Schizosaccharomyces pombe: one gene and its partner. The protein of the gene in region 2 purifies or fractionates together with the protein of the main gene of each other region. This does not show direct contact. Each region holds a gene or a part of one and is shown on either strand. Other genes may lie near its edges.

Region 1 (5,252 bases), on a different chromosome or scaffold from region 2:
CAGGTATAATCGCATTCGAGCATTGCTTGATTCAAGGAAGGGAAGATGTGGAGAGTGGGCCAACGTGAGTTAAAAATATTTATAAATATATAAAGCTAACATTTTCTTAGTGTTTCACTTTCCTATGCAGAGCACTTGGATCTAGAGCTAGGTGGATTTGGAATGCTGAGGACCATGTGTGGACGGAAGTCTATAGTAATAAACAGCAACGCTGGGTGCATGTCGATAGTGGTGAAGAATCATTCGATGAACCTTTGATATACGAACAAGGTAGAGTTCTAACTCCTTGAAAAACTTGATTTCTAACAGCATTAGGTTGGGGAAAGAAGATGTCATATTGTTTGGGTTTTGGGAGTACGGAAAAGGTTTTAATTTTATTTGTTACTAATGCAAAAATAGTCGATAGTGTTCGCGATGTATCGCATAGATATATTCGTCACCCTGAGAATGGTCTTCCTCGTGATCGATGCCCCGAATCTGTCCTACAACAGGCTTTGCATGAGATTAATATTGAGTTTCGGTCCCGACTAACTGATTCTGAACGTAAGGCTCTAGAGGAGGAAGACAAACGTGAAAAAGATGAACTTGATGGTTATATGCGTCCTGTTTCCCAGGCCACGCCCACTAACACTGACCTGCCAGCAAGACAAACGGGGAATGTTGAATGGAAAGAGAAAAGAGGGGAAGCAGGAAAATGATTGTTTCATAAAGCTTTACGTTCCGTTTCTATTACCAAACATTTATTAGTTATGTTGTACATGAATCCTTTCTAGTTACTAGCTTTTTTTTTATGTAATCCTAATTAAATTTTTTTTTCATACATTAGTTAAACGACAGCAAGTGCATCGTAAACCAACTTTCGAATTTCAAAAAAGCGGTTGCTCAAACTGCCCTCAACGGATATTTTACCACCACTGAGTTTTCTTACGGCAACAGCTCCCCCACATAATAAAACACCTTCTCCTTTCAATTCAGCAGAAATTCCTTGATCTAAAAGTGCTTTACGGAGATAGGCAAGCCGAATATTACCTACCAAAAGTGGAGCAGCCCTGGGCGCTCTTGCCAAGTCTGATCTTAAAGTCAAGGCGTTAAGAACAGGAAGTGTCTCTTTCTCTTCTTTTTTCTCTTCATTCCTTTCTTTATCACCGTCCTTTTTCTCAACTTCTTCCTTTTTATCTTCTTCTTCAGAAGGTTTAGAGATCTCAACCTTAGCCAGCATATGTGAAACTTCGCAATTGCCAACTTTAGTCCAAATTAAATTTTTAATAAGATCATCTGCTAATTTAAGACTGAATGCATTAACATCGATACTAACATTAATGATTTCACCATAGTTGGGTATGTAAACGTCCTTGGTAAAAGCACTGAGAGAGGCGCACGTTTTCTTCATATCTTCTTTCTCTTCAGTTGAAGCATGAATAAGGACAAGTCTTCTAGGATTTACCTGTGGTATAATAGTTTTCAAAGAACGTCCATCATGCAGACCCTCAATATCTATGAACTGAACTTGACATGAAACTCGGATAGTTTTTTCATCTGTTATAATTTTAGAAGGAACTTCATCCTCATCCTCTTCTTCCTTTTTTTGTTGTAGACCATCGTTTATTTCGGACCATTTTCTTTTTCCGTTAGAATTAGATAAAGCATTATCATCTGAATCATTTTCCAATTCCAATGTGTTAGCAGGTTCGTTAATCATAGAAAAGTCTTGATGTTTGATAATTTCTCCATATTCATCTATCCTCCTTCTCTTCTCAATGTATGGAAACATTTTATACTTGGTATGTAAAGCTTGGACAGCAGGATCTCTCAAGTTCAAATCAAAAGACTTTCCCATTAGGAAAGCAGAAGATCCAAGAGCCACATGGGGAACTTCTGTATTCAAATCTAAGTCGTCATCTTCTGAAGAAGATGATGATGAAAGGTCTTCATCTAATATGGTTCTGTTACGAAATTCCAAAGCGGTATCTTCCGCATCTTTATTTCTCTTGCTGAACTCAAGTTCTTGATACGATCGCAATTCTTCCCCCTCCAAAGGTTCTTTCGTTTTTATCTTGACAGCTTGTTCAGCATACAAACCGACTGGATGAGGAATATCACGTTTCTTTTTACTAGCACGTTCCCAATACCTGATGAATTGGTTTGCAAGTGAGTTTTGAGGGCATCTGGATCTTTGTGTAAACAGTATTAAGTCATTTGAATTTTCAGACATCAAATCTAACAAAATTCGCTGAGAGAATCCGCATTCCAAAGTCAACGCGGTAGCGAGGATCACTTTGGGTCCGGGTCCTATGTGAGAAATCTGAGAAAAATCTGTAATCGTATTTATATTTCGAAACTCTAATAAGTTTTCGTTGATCCCAAAATCACGAACTATATTATCACCCATCCATTCAATCATACTTTTAGCATAGTCAATAGTTTTTGTTGATGTAGGGGAAAGGAATAATATAGGAAATGGTAGAGGCGGTTGACTAGCAGACCAATGGTTATCTAGAATACAACACAATTCTAATACCCTAGAAGCGGCATCTACAGGTAATAAAACAGTACCGCCCTTCAACAAAGAAGACATAACAGACTCTATGAAAGCTTCGTCACGCTTTTTACGGGAAGGGATAGATACGAGTGAATTGTTAGCATCAGTAATTAAAGTATTTGGTCGATTGAGAGCTTCTAATATATGGCCATTCGAATATAAGGCAGCGCCGTTTAGATGTTTATCTTTAGAATGGTTCCAGTCAACAGCGTACAGAACGCTTTCTGATTCTTTTATAAGACTCCACAAAGTTCCTCCCAAGGTATGTCCAGCATTATAAGCAGTAATGGTTAGCCCACTACATTTTCCTAAATCATGAATTAGTATAATCAAAAGTTCAAAAGACTTTTTTCACAAGAACAATTGCTTACCTAAAAGTAATGTGGGTTGTTGATATCTAAGAGGAATGATGCTGTCAAAAACAGCATCTACATCAGCTTTGCTCATGTCTGAAATATAGTTGGATTTTATTGCATCCAACATAGTCATCCGACCCATATTAATTGTTGGTAAAGTAGCATATATATACGCATTTTTCCAGTCATATTTATAATAAGCATAAACCAATCCTCCTATATGTGCTAAATCCGAATGAGATAAAAGGATTAAATCTGGTTGTTCGGGTACTTCCGGATGTTTTAATGAATCATCGCTGCCAGGGTCTATATAGATATGAATTCCATCTAACTCAATATGAGATGTTCCACAATAGGAGTCTGTCTCTAAACATTGATAGTTGAGCATGGTTATTGCCCAAAGACAGGACTTTACAACTCGATGGTAGTAAACAGTGGGGGTTGGATGGCTATCAGAAAGAATATATCCAAGCGATACTATAATATGAAAACTTGTCAATCTTCTAAATTGACCAGTTTTAATGTCTTTATTATAACTAAATCTTTAGTTAATCTAAATCATTCAACGAGCATATTGGATAAATCGGCTTCGTAATTTTTATATATTAACAAAGACGGATGTTTATTAAATACGGTTTCTTGGTAACATCATTAATTAAAAATATACCATGTAAGGAGTTGAGTTATAAGTGACTGGTATAGATTATCAATTGGCGATTTATTCAAAATGCGCTAATTTTAGGAAATGGTTCATCAAATCGAAAATTGTCCTGAAAGCATTAAGTGAATTATCAAAATAATTTTTAGCTTTTAAATTATCACTCTGTAATAACAAATAACTGTAAATTAGACATTGATTCATTCATCGATTCCAAAAAAAGCAGAGACGGCGCCATAGAGGTCGCAAACGACCTTAGATTTCCCAGAGCTTCCTAGGCCCGCAGCGACATATAATGGAACAAAGTGTTCCTCGCGTGGGTGTGCTTTTCGAAAATAAGGGTGTAGCTGTAATCCTAATAATTTATTCAGACGATCATTTTGCTATAGGTTCGAAATTAGTACAAGAAGTTCAAAATATTGTGCACTCATCCTCAACGACAAGTAACATACATACCTTATCAGTCTCAATAGCTTTTAGAATATCCAGTTGGAATTCTTTATATCCATCAGCTGCCGTATCTTCATTGAATGCAGAGAGGTCTTCGAAAGTATGAATGTTGAGTCCTCCGCTAACTATCAAATACTCCTTCCGCAAACTTTGCAATGCTTGTCCTACTTTATATAGCTGCATGGGATCTAGGGTATGCATGCTCACCTCTATTAATGGGATATTAAGTCCATCGGGAAACATGATTTTGAATGGCACAAAAACACCATGGTCCAATCCACGATCACCTGAAACAGTTTTTGCTGGAATTTGGTACTATTGGGTTAGCATCAATAATCTATGAAACAGAAAAGATTCTGCGTTGGCATACTTCTTTAAGGGCAGAAATTATTTGATCGGCTATCCGCTTGGAGCCTTTGGAATGAAACTTGATCTGGTATAAATAATCTGGAAATCCGTAATAGTCATAAAAAAGTGGGTTTTCATCGTCTCTCGAATATACTTCAACTGATCCACGAGACTCATAGTGTGCAGAAAAGACGATTATTCCCTTCGGTCTAAACTTTTCCAATAGAAAGGGTCCTAACTGTTCTAAAAACTGATAATGTAACCCTCCAAGCTTAGAATCATTACTGAAAACCTCATCATCCGATGATTGTGGTAACATCAAAAATGGAGCTAAACAATTTTTAGTTATTCTAGTATCAATAAAGTGTTTATGTATCGAGTTATATGAAATTGAGAGATAGTTTGATGAAGTCAGTCAGCAAATTCCATTAACTCAGCATATTATGCGTCTGCTATATAAATTTCTGTTGATTCAATATACTTACATCCATGCGCTAAATACAGAGCTGGAATAAGCCTTTCTAGTTGAGGAACAGACCTCATACGAGACATCCAGTCTAATAGTCGAGAACTCGCCATAGTCCCGTTAAATTCAATTTCAAAATAGCCTAAATCGTTTGACTCCACTGGCTTTTGGGTGGTGTTACTAACGCTGTTGTTTTTCCAGTAGGCGAGTATGCACACTGCCAAACCCGTCAAGAGGTATTTCAACCTTAAAAGTTCTCGTATTGGCATGAATCCACAAACCAAGACTTTCGAGGTATTAGTTTTCCTTTTGTTTATCACTTACTAACTAATGCTTTAAGGGAGCTATCAATCGGCTAAATTCTTTGCAATCCAATGCAAAAGTGCTGGAAGTGCTTAGGAAAAGGGGAAAGATCCCAAATGATCAGTCGATGGT
Region 2 (5,345 bases):
GAATGGTAAGAAAACAGGTTCCTTAGTATCGGGATGCAAAGTTGAATCAACAACTAAAATCGTTAATATGTTTTTTTTTTTAATTTGAAAATATATTTAATAACAAAAAAAATAACTAATCAAATAATATAACATTTGATCGGATTTGTATCGTATAACTACATACTTTTCTTTGCATGCCAAACCGTTTCATCTAATTGTGCAATTTTACCCGCTCCATAGTCTTCCAGAGTTTTGACGGCGCTATTTAAATCTTGAGATGTAGAGAGAAGTGTCCTACAGATGTTAGGTGCTCAAACGATCATGTAGTTAAATTATAATTACCTTGGATCAGTAATATCCATAGCGTGCTGCCGCATTAGCATAAATACAAAGAGTAATATAACATACACGAACACGTCCCCAATAGGTGGACAAGTCATACTTAGAGGTGGGCAGCTTATTGCTGGACATTGTGGTGTTGGTGTTGGTAGTCGGTACAAAAATTTGCTTAATTAACCCGATTGGTAGTGTCTTTGGAGTTCATAATAGCTACAAAAAAAGTTTTCCTTACAAAAATCTAAATAGTTATAGCATTTTTTTAAGTACTAGTCAATTTTTTTGGAATGGCTATTAAATTGTTTGTCTTTGACGTAAATGGCAAGAATAAATTAAAGATTCGATCACGCATGACTAAGAAACAGCATTTTTTAACAGAAATACCAGAGTGCATGATAACTACTGAGACTTAAATAGCAAAAAATGAAGGTAGCCATAAAAGTGTCATGGCTATGAAAGGCAAAGATTCGTTCGTAAATAATTTTCAAGAAAGTTCTTCTTTCTTAAGGTTGGGCTGTTCATTCTTTTCTTCGCTTTTCTGTTCTTCAACTGGTTCTGTCTTATTTTCATTTTTAACATCATCTTCTATTTTCGTTTGCTGCTCAAAGATTTTATCATCGTCAGATTCTTCATTTTCAAAATCATCTTCGGAGACGTCGTTTTGTGAAGCTTCAGAAAATGGAAGGATAGTATTGATCGCACGGGATAAAACATGTACGACTCTAGATCGTAACGCTTCATTTGAACATTCAACTTTCATAGTCGAAAAATCAATAGACGCTTCATATTTTTCAAATTTGATTTCAACCCCCTTTTCCGTTTTAGTCATACTTTCGCCAAATTGGTTGTCCAAAAACATCATCAGCTTTTTAATACGATCTTCCTCCTTTGATACTTTTGGAGGCTTATCTAAATGCGAATGCAAATGGTTACATTTATGGCTCGTCACTATTAATGGTTAGAAATTGTTCCACATTAAACGCAGACTTACACTTGACAGAAGCAGGACTGCTTTCAATGCCTAGTAGAATAGTAATTACTGAATCAGCTATTGTATCATTCATAATGTTGCCAACCCATTCAAGAGCAAGCTTATGTTCTTGGATTAAAGTCAAAGTAATGGCGTCCATTACTGTATATTGAGGTTGTCCTGCCTTTGTTTTTGACTGTTTGACATATCCAAACATTTGTTTTAAATGGAAATTTGCAAGCTCCATACTCGAAAAAAATGGAATGACTTGTTTTTGGGTTAAAACGGTGGTAGTAAGGTCACTGAAATCTCGAAGATCTTCAGCTGACATCAATTTATAATTGGCATCCTTTTGAATTAAAATTCCACTCATAATGTCGCCTTCTTTTGGTTTATGAACAGCGACCTTTCCCAAAGCTCTCACTAACCGTTCCCCTTTGAAAGGAAGATATAACGGTACGCAATTTCGAGGGGTATATACTTTGACATCGACTTTTCTATTGTGAAATTTGCTGGCTAGAGCACTTTTTAATCGACCCATATTTGTTTGCTCACCATGCACCAAAATCTATAATTAGTTAATTTTAACGTTACATTAGTAACTAAACATACAATGTGATCGGCATTTACCAGGTCAATGAATTCACTGTTTTGAAGATAATCAACATGAGCCGCAAAAGAAAGTTCCTCCACTGCCATTCTTCTAGGAATCTTTTGGCCTGAAAGTGACACAATTTCAATAGGCTCATTTGTAATTTGCTTTGCCATTGTCCCTTCAACAGAATAACCAGTAAGAAGTAACGTATTTCGAGGGTCAGGAGCCCATCTTTCTAAGAGGGTTCTTGAAACACCATTTTGTAGCATACCAGGACTTGCCAATATTACAGAAGGGCCAATATCATCGAATTTTTCTAAATTTCTTAGACTTTTGACAAAACGAAAGATGAACGGATTTCGTTCGGCAAAAATTTTTCGAATATTATCATTCATCATGTTAACATAAGTTTGAAAAATGGCCATACACTTTCTCGCTAGCGATGATGCATAATAGATAGGGACTGAGCGAAGATCGAGATGATTATTCCAATATTCATCGAGAATGAGTAATAACTCCTGAGCTCTTCCAAGAGCAAAGACAGGCATCAAAACTCTCCCTCCATTGCGAATAGTGGAATGAATAATATTTAACAGTCTAGCCTCCTTCTCCAGTCTTGGTTGGTGAGATGCTGTACCATACGTGGATTCTGTGATCAGCACATCTGGTCTTTTAGGAGGAACCTCAGCGACATGCAAATGGCGATCTTCTTCTCGTGAGTAGTCGCCTGTAAATAAAATATTGACTCCAGCCATTTCCACAAAATACATACAGGCACCCAAAACATGGCCCGCATGATAGGGTGTAAACTTTATACCCTCAACTTCTATAGTTGAATGGTAGTCAACAGCCTCGATTCTATCAAAAGCGGCTAACAAATCTTTCTCATCGTAAAGCTGATCTTCCATGCCTACATTACTGCGAGTTGTTAATGAATACTCAGAGCTAAGAATACATACCTCACTTTCACGTAGTCAGATAAAAGCCACTTGCAAACTGCCTTTGTAGGATGAGTCATGAAGACACGACCTCTAAAGTTCGTCTTTTGCATAACATAGGGAAGCGAGGCTACATGATCCAAATGGAAGCTTGCTTAAGTTAGAAATACTTTTCAAAAAAAAATGAATCAATGCCTAAGGGACCATAATAGTAATTGGTACAAGAAGTACTCTAATCTAATAACCTATGGTCGTCTCAAGTAGTGGTACAAAAGGGACTTACTGGCTAATTAAAAGTACATCTACAGTGCTCAAATCAAACTCATCAAAAAAAGGAAGAGCTGAAAGCCCAGTATACGCAGGGTGAACACCGGCATCGAGCTAGCAAAAATTAGCATTCACAATCATAACAAAATAAAAATTAAAATACCATTACTGTTTTCCCTTTGTATTGAATAACATGGCAACTGCGACCAACTTCATTTCCGGCTCCCAAGTTAATAAACTCCAGTAAATCCTGACATTGGTTAGAAAGTAGGCCCTTATAAAAAATCGTAAATTCAAGGCTTACGGATGGGTCTACAGGTGCATCTTCATCAAATTCCTTTCTTTTGGACATCTTTCCAAGGGCTTTTGTCTAAAAACCACAATTGGAAAGACAAGGTCGTGGGTGCTGGGCAAGCGCGAGTTATTCTTCACCTACGCATTCAACATAAATTGGGAGAAAGCAGAACAAAAATTTACAACCCTTTTTTTTTTAATTAAGAGCACCTAATTCTATTTATTATTAATGACTTCACTTTAATTGATACTAGAAAACCGTACTTTAAGGAGCGAAGTAAAATGTTTGTGCCAAGGCAACTGAATGTTCGCAAAATTAAAGCATTTACAGGGAAGGAAAATAATTCTATTGCAGATGGAAATAACAACAAATTGAAAGATGAGCATTACAAACATAATGAAGCCAGCAAAGAACCAAGTCATTCCATAAGCGGAGGACTCATGTTAAATCAACAAGATAGACAGCTTATTGAACCGTTAAATCCTGACTTTTTATCAGCCGTTGATTCTATATTAGAAATTTATTTTCACCGAGAAAGGCAAAAAGAAAAAGTGCACTTGGCCTTTTTAATCCAGCAAGATGATTTCTGGAAAGGAATCCGCCCGAATCCAACGCAAAATAACTTGAAGTATGCTTTATCTTATGTTACTAATGCGCTGTTTCATTTCGATAATTCCTCACACATGGTTATTAGAAATGAGAATATTGTTCTTCCTCTTGACATACCACTGTATGATAGAATTATTTACGTTGAACCAGTTCCGGCTACTCTGTCTAATAAAAGTTTACTTTTGGCTGGGAAACTTCGCAAATACCTCAAAGAGTTCCTTCCCTATGTTGATGCTATCGGTACTCCTGAAGGTTATGCTTTTGTAATTTTGTACAAAAAGGTTGATCAATCAGCACTTAGCAAGTTGCCTGTCCCTCCTGGATGGGTACTGTTGACTCGTAAAGAATGGACAAATCGTGAAGAAAAATATTTTGAAAATCAACTCCATTTAGTAAAAGCGTCATCTTCAGACGTTTCAAATTCATCCAATTCCTTTCCTGAAAATCGTTATCCCAAACTTACTAAAGTAGAAAAACAAATGACCAAGTCTGTATCCAAAACCTCACAAACTGATAAAGATGAAGATAATTTGGATTTTACCAAGAATCTTTTGACCCGTATCAAGAACCTCCATCCTTTAACTAATAAATCTACTATTCACAGCCTCTTGAGTTATGTTTTTTCGCGGCAAACTCAGAATATTGCATGTGAGCCCATGTATATAGACTATAGGAAGGACGAAACAGAGGCGATAATACGTTGGAAAACACCGCTTCATGCTGAGACGTGTATCAACGCGTTTCGTACACAAGAAAGGAAACAAAACAGTCATGATGATATTCGGGCACATAGGAAAAAGGGATCTAGCCGTCCATTCCTGATTGCTGAGCTAATTACCGGAGAAGAAGAAAAGAATTATTGGCGTATGTTAAAAAAGTAATATGTTTTCCTTTCTCTGGTAATACTAATTTGATTTATTTACTACTTTATAATATATTCTGGTAATATAGGCATACAAAAAGGTAACACGGTCGTTATTCTCACTTTAATACTAAATTTGCATTAACAGTTTTTTGTATTAATAACCCCTCTAATTTTCATTTGGCTGATAACCTATTGCGATCAGCAAAAATTCCAATAAACCATGAACCACAAATATGTAAAAACGGTTTACCACCCCACAATTGCAAAATTCTATTACTTAGATTTTAATTACATATTCTGTACATCATTGTTGCTCCCGGCTTGTATTTTCCTTAACGCCTTTTAACTACGAAACGTAATATTCTTCACTGCTAACAGTCTTAAAATGAAATATTTTCTGTATGTTATATATTAATTTAGCATACCGAAAAGTTCTTGAAATTGAGGTGTGTTTTCATAGGTCTGAGTTAAATTCTTACATCTGCCAT

The links.
Region 1: the proteins of ysh1 (region 2) and cft2 purify together in Schizosaccharomyces pombe (affinity purification with mass spectrometry, with the first as the bait; one study listed by BioGRID). This does not show direct contact.

Annotation. Positions count from the first base shown.
Region 1 is NC_003423.3:1,127,143-1,132,394, forward strand, and holds cft2 (mRNA processing protein Cft2), read right to left. Parts: upstream 3,332-5,252; 5' UTR 3,284-3,331; coding exon 2,911-3,283; exon of another isoform or gene 2,848-2,910; coding exon 827-2,847; 3' UTR 812-826; downstream 1-811. Other genes in the region: ngl1 (peptide N-glycanase), read left to right, coding at 1-64, 111-270, 316-354, 400-698; SPOM_SPBC1709.16C (aromatic ring-opening dioxygenase), read right to left, coding at 3,754-3,936, 4,010-4,318, 4,374-4,681, 4,837-4,930; met7 (putative folylpolyglutamate synthase), read left to right, coding at 5,085-5,111, 5,158-5,252. UniProt on the Schizosaccharomyces pombe protein: RNA-binding component of the cleavage and polyadenylation factor (CPF) complex, which plays a key role in polyadenylation-dependent pre-mRNA 3'-end formation and cooperates with cleavage factors including the CFIA complex and NAB4/CFIB.
Region 2 is NC_003424.3:3,620,205-3,625,549, forward strand, and holds ysh1 (cleavage and polyadenylation specificity factor complex endoribonuclease subunit Ysh1), read right to left. Parts: upstream 3,507-5,345; 5' UTR 3,441-3,506; coding exon 3,393-3,440; intron 3,339-3,392; coding exon 3,252-3,338; intron 3,206-3,251; exon of another isoform or gene 3,203-3,205; coding exon 3,105-3,202; exon of another isoform or gene 2,972-3,104; coding exon 2,843-2,971; exon of another isoform or gene 2,802-2,842; coding exon 1,901-2,801; exon of another isoform or gene 1,857-1,900; coding exon 1,310-1,856; exon of another isoform or gene 1,267-1,309; coding exon 803-1,266; 3' UTR 557-802; downstream 1-556. Other genes in the region: sideroflexin Fsf1, read right to left, coding at 1-53, 167-276, 325-350, 391-453; pof8 (LARP7 family RNA-binding protein Pof8/Lar7), read left to right, coding at 3,665-4,873. UniProt on the Schizosaccharomyces pombe protein: Component of the cleavage factor I (CF I) involved in pre-mRNA 3'-end processing.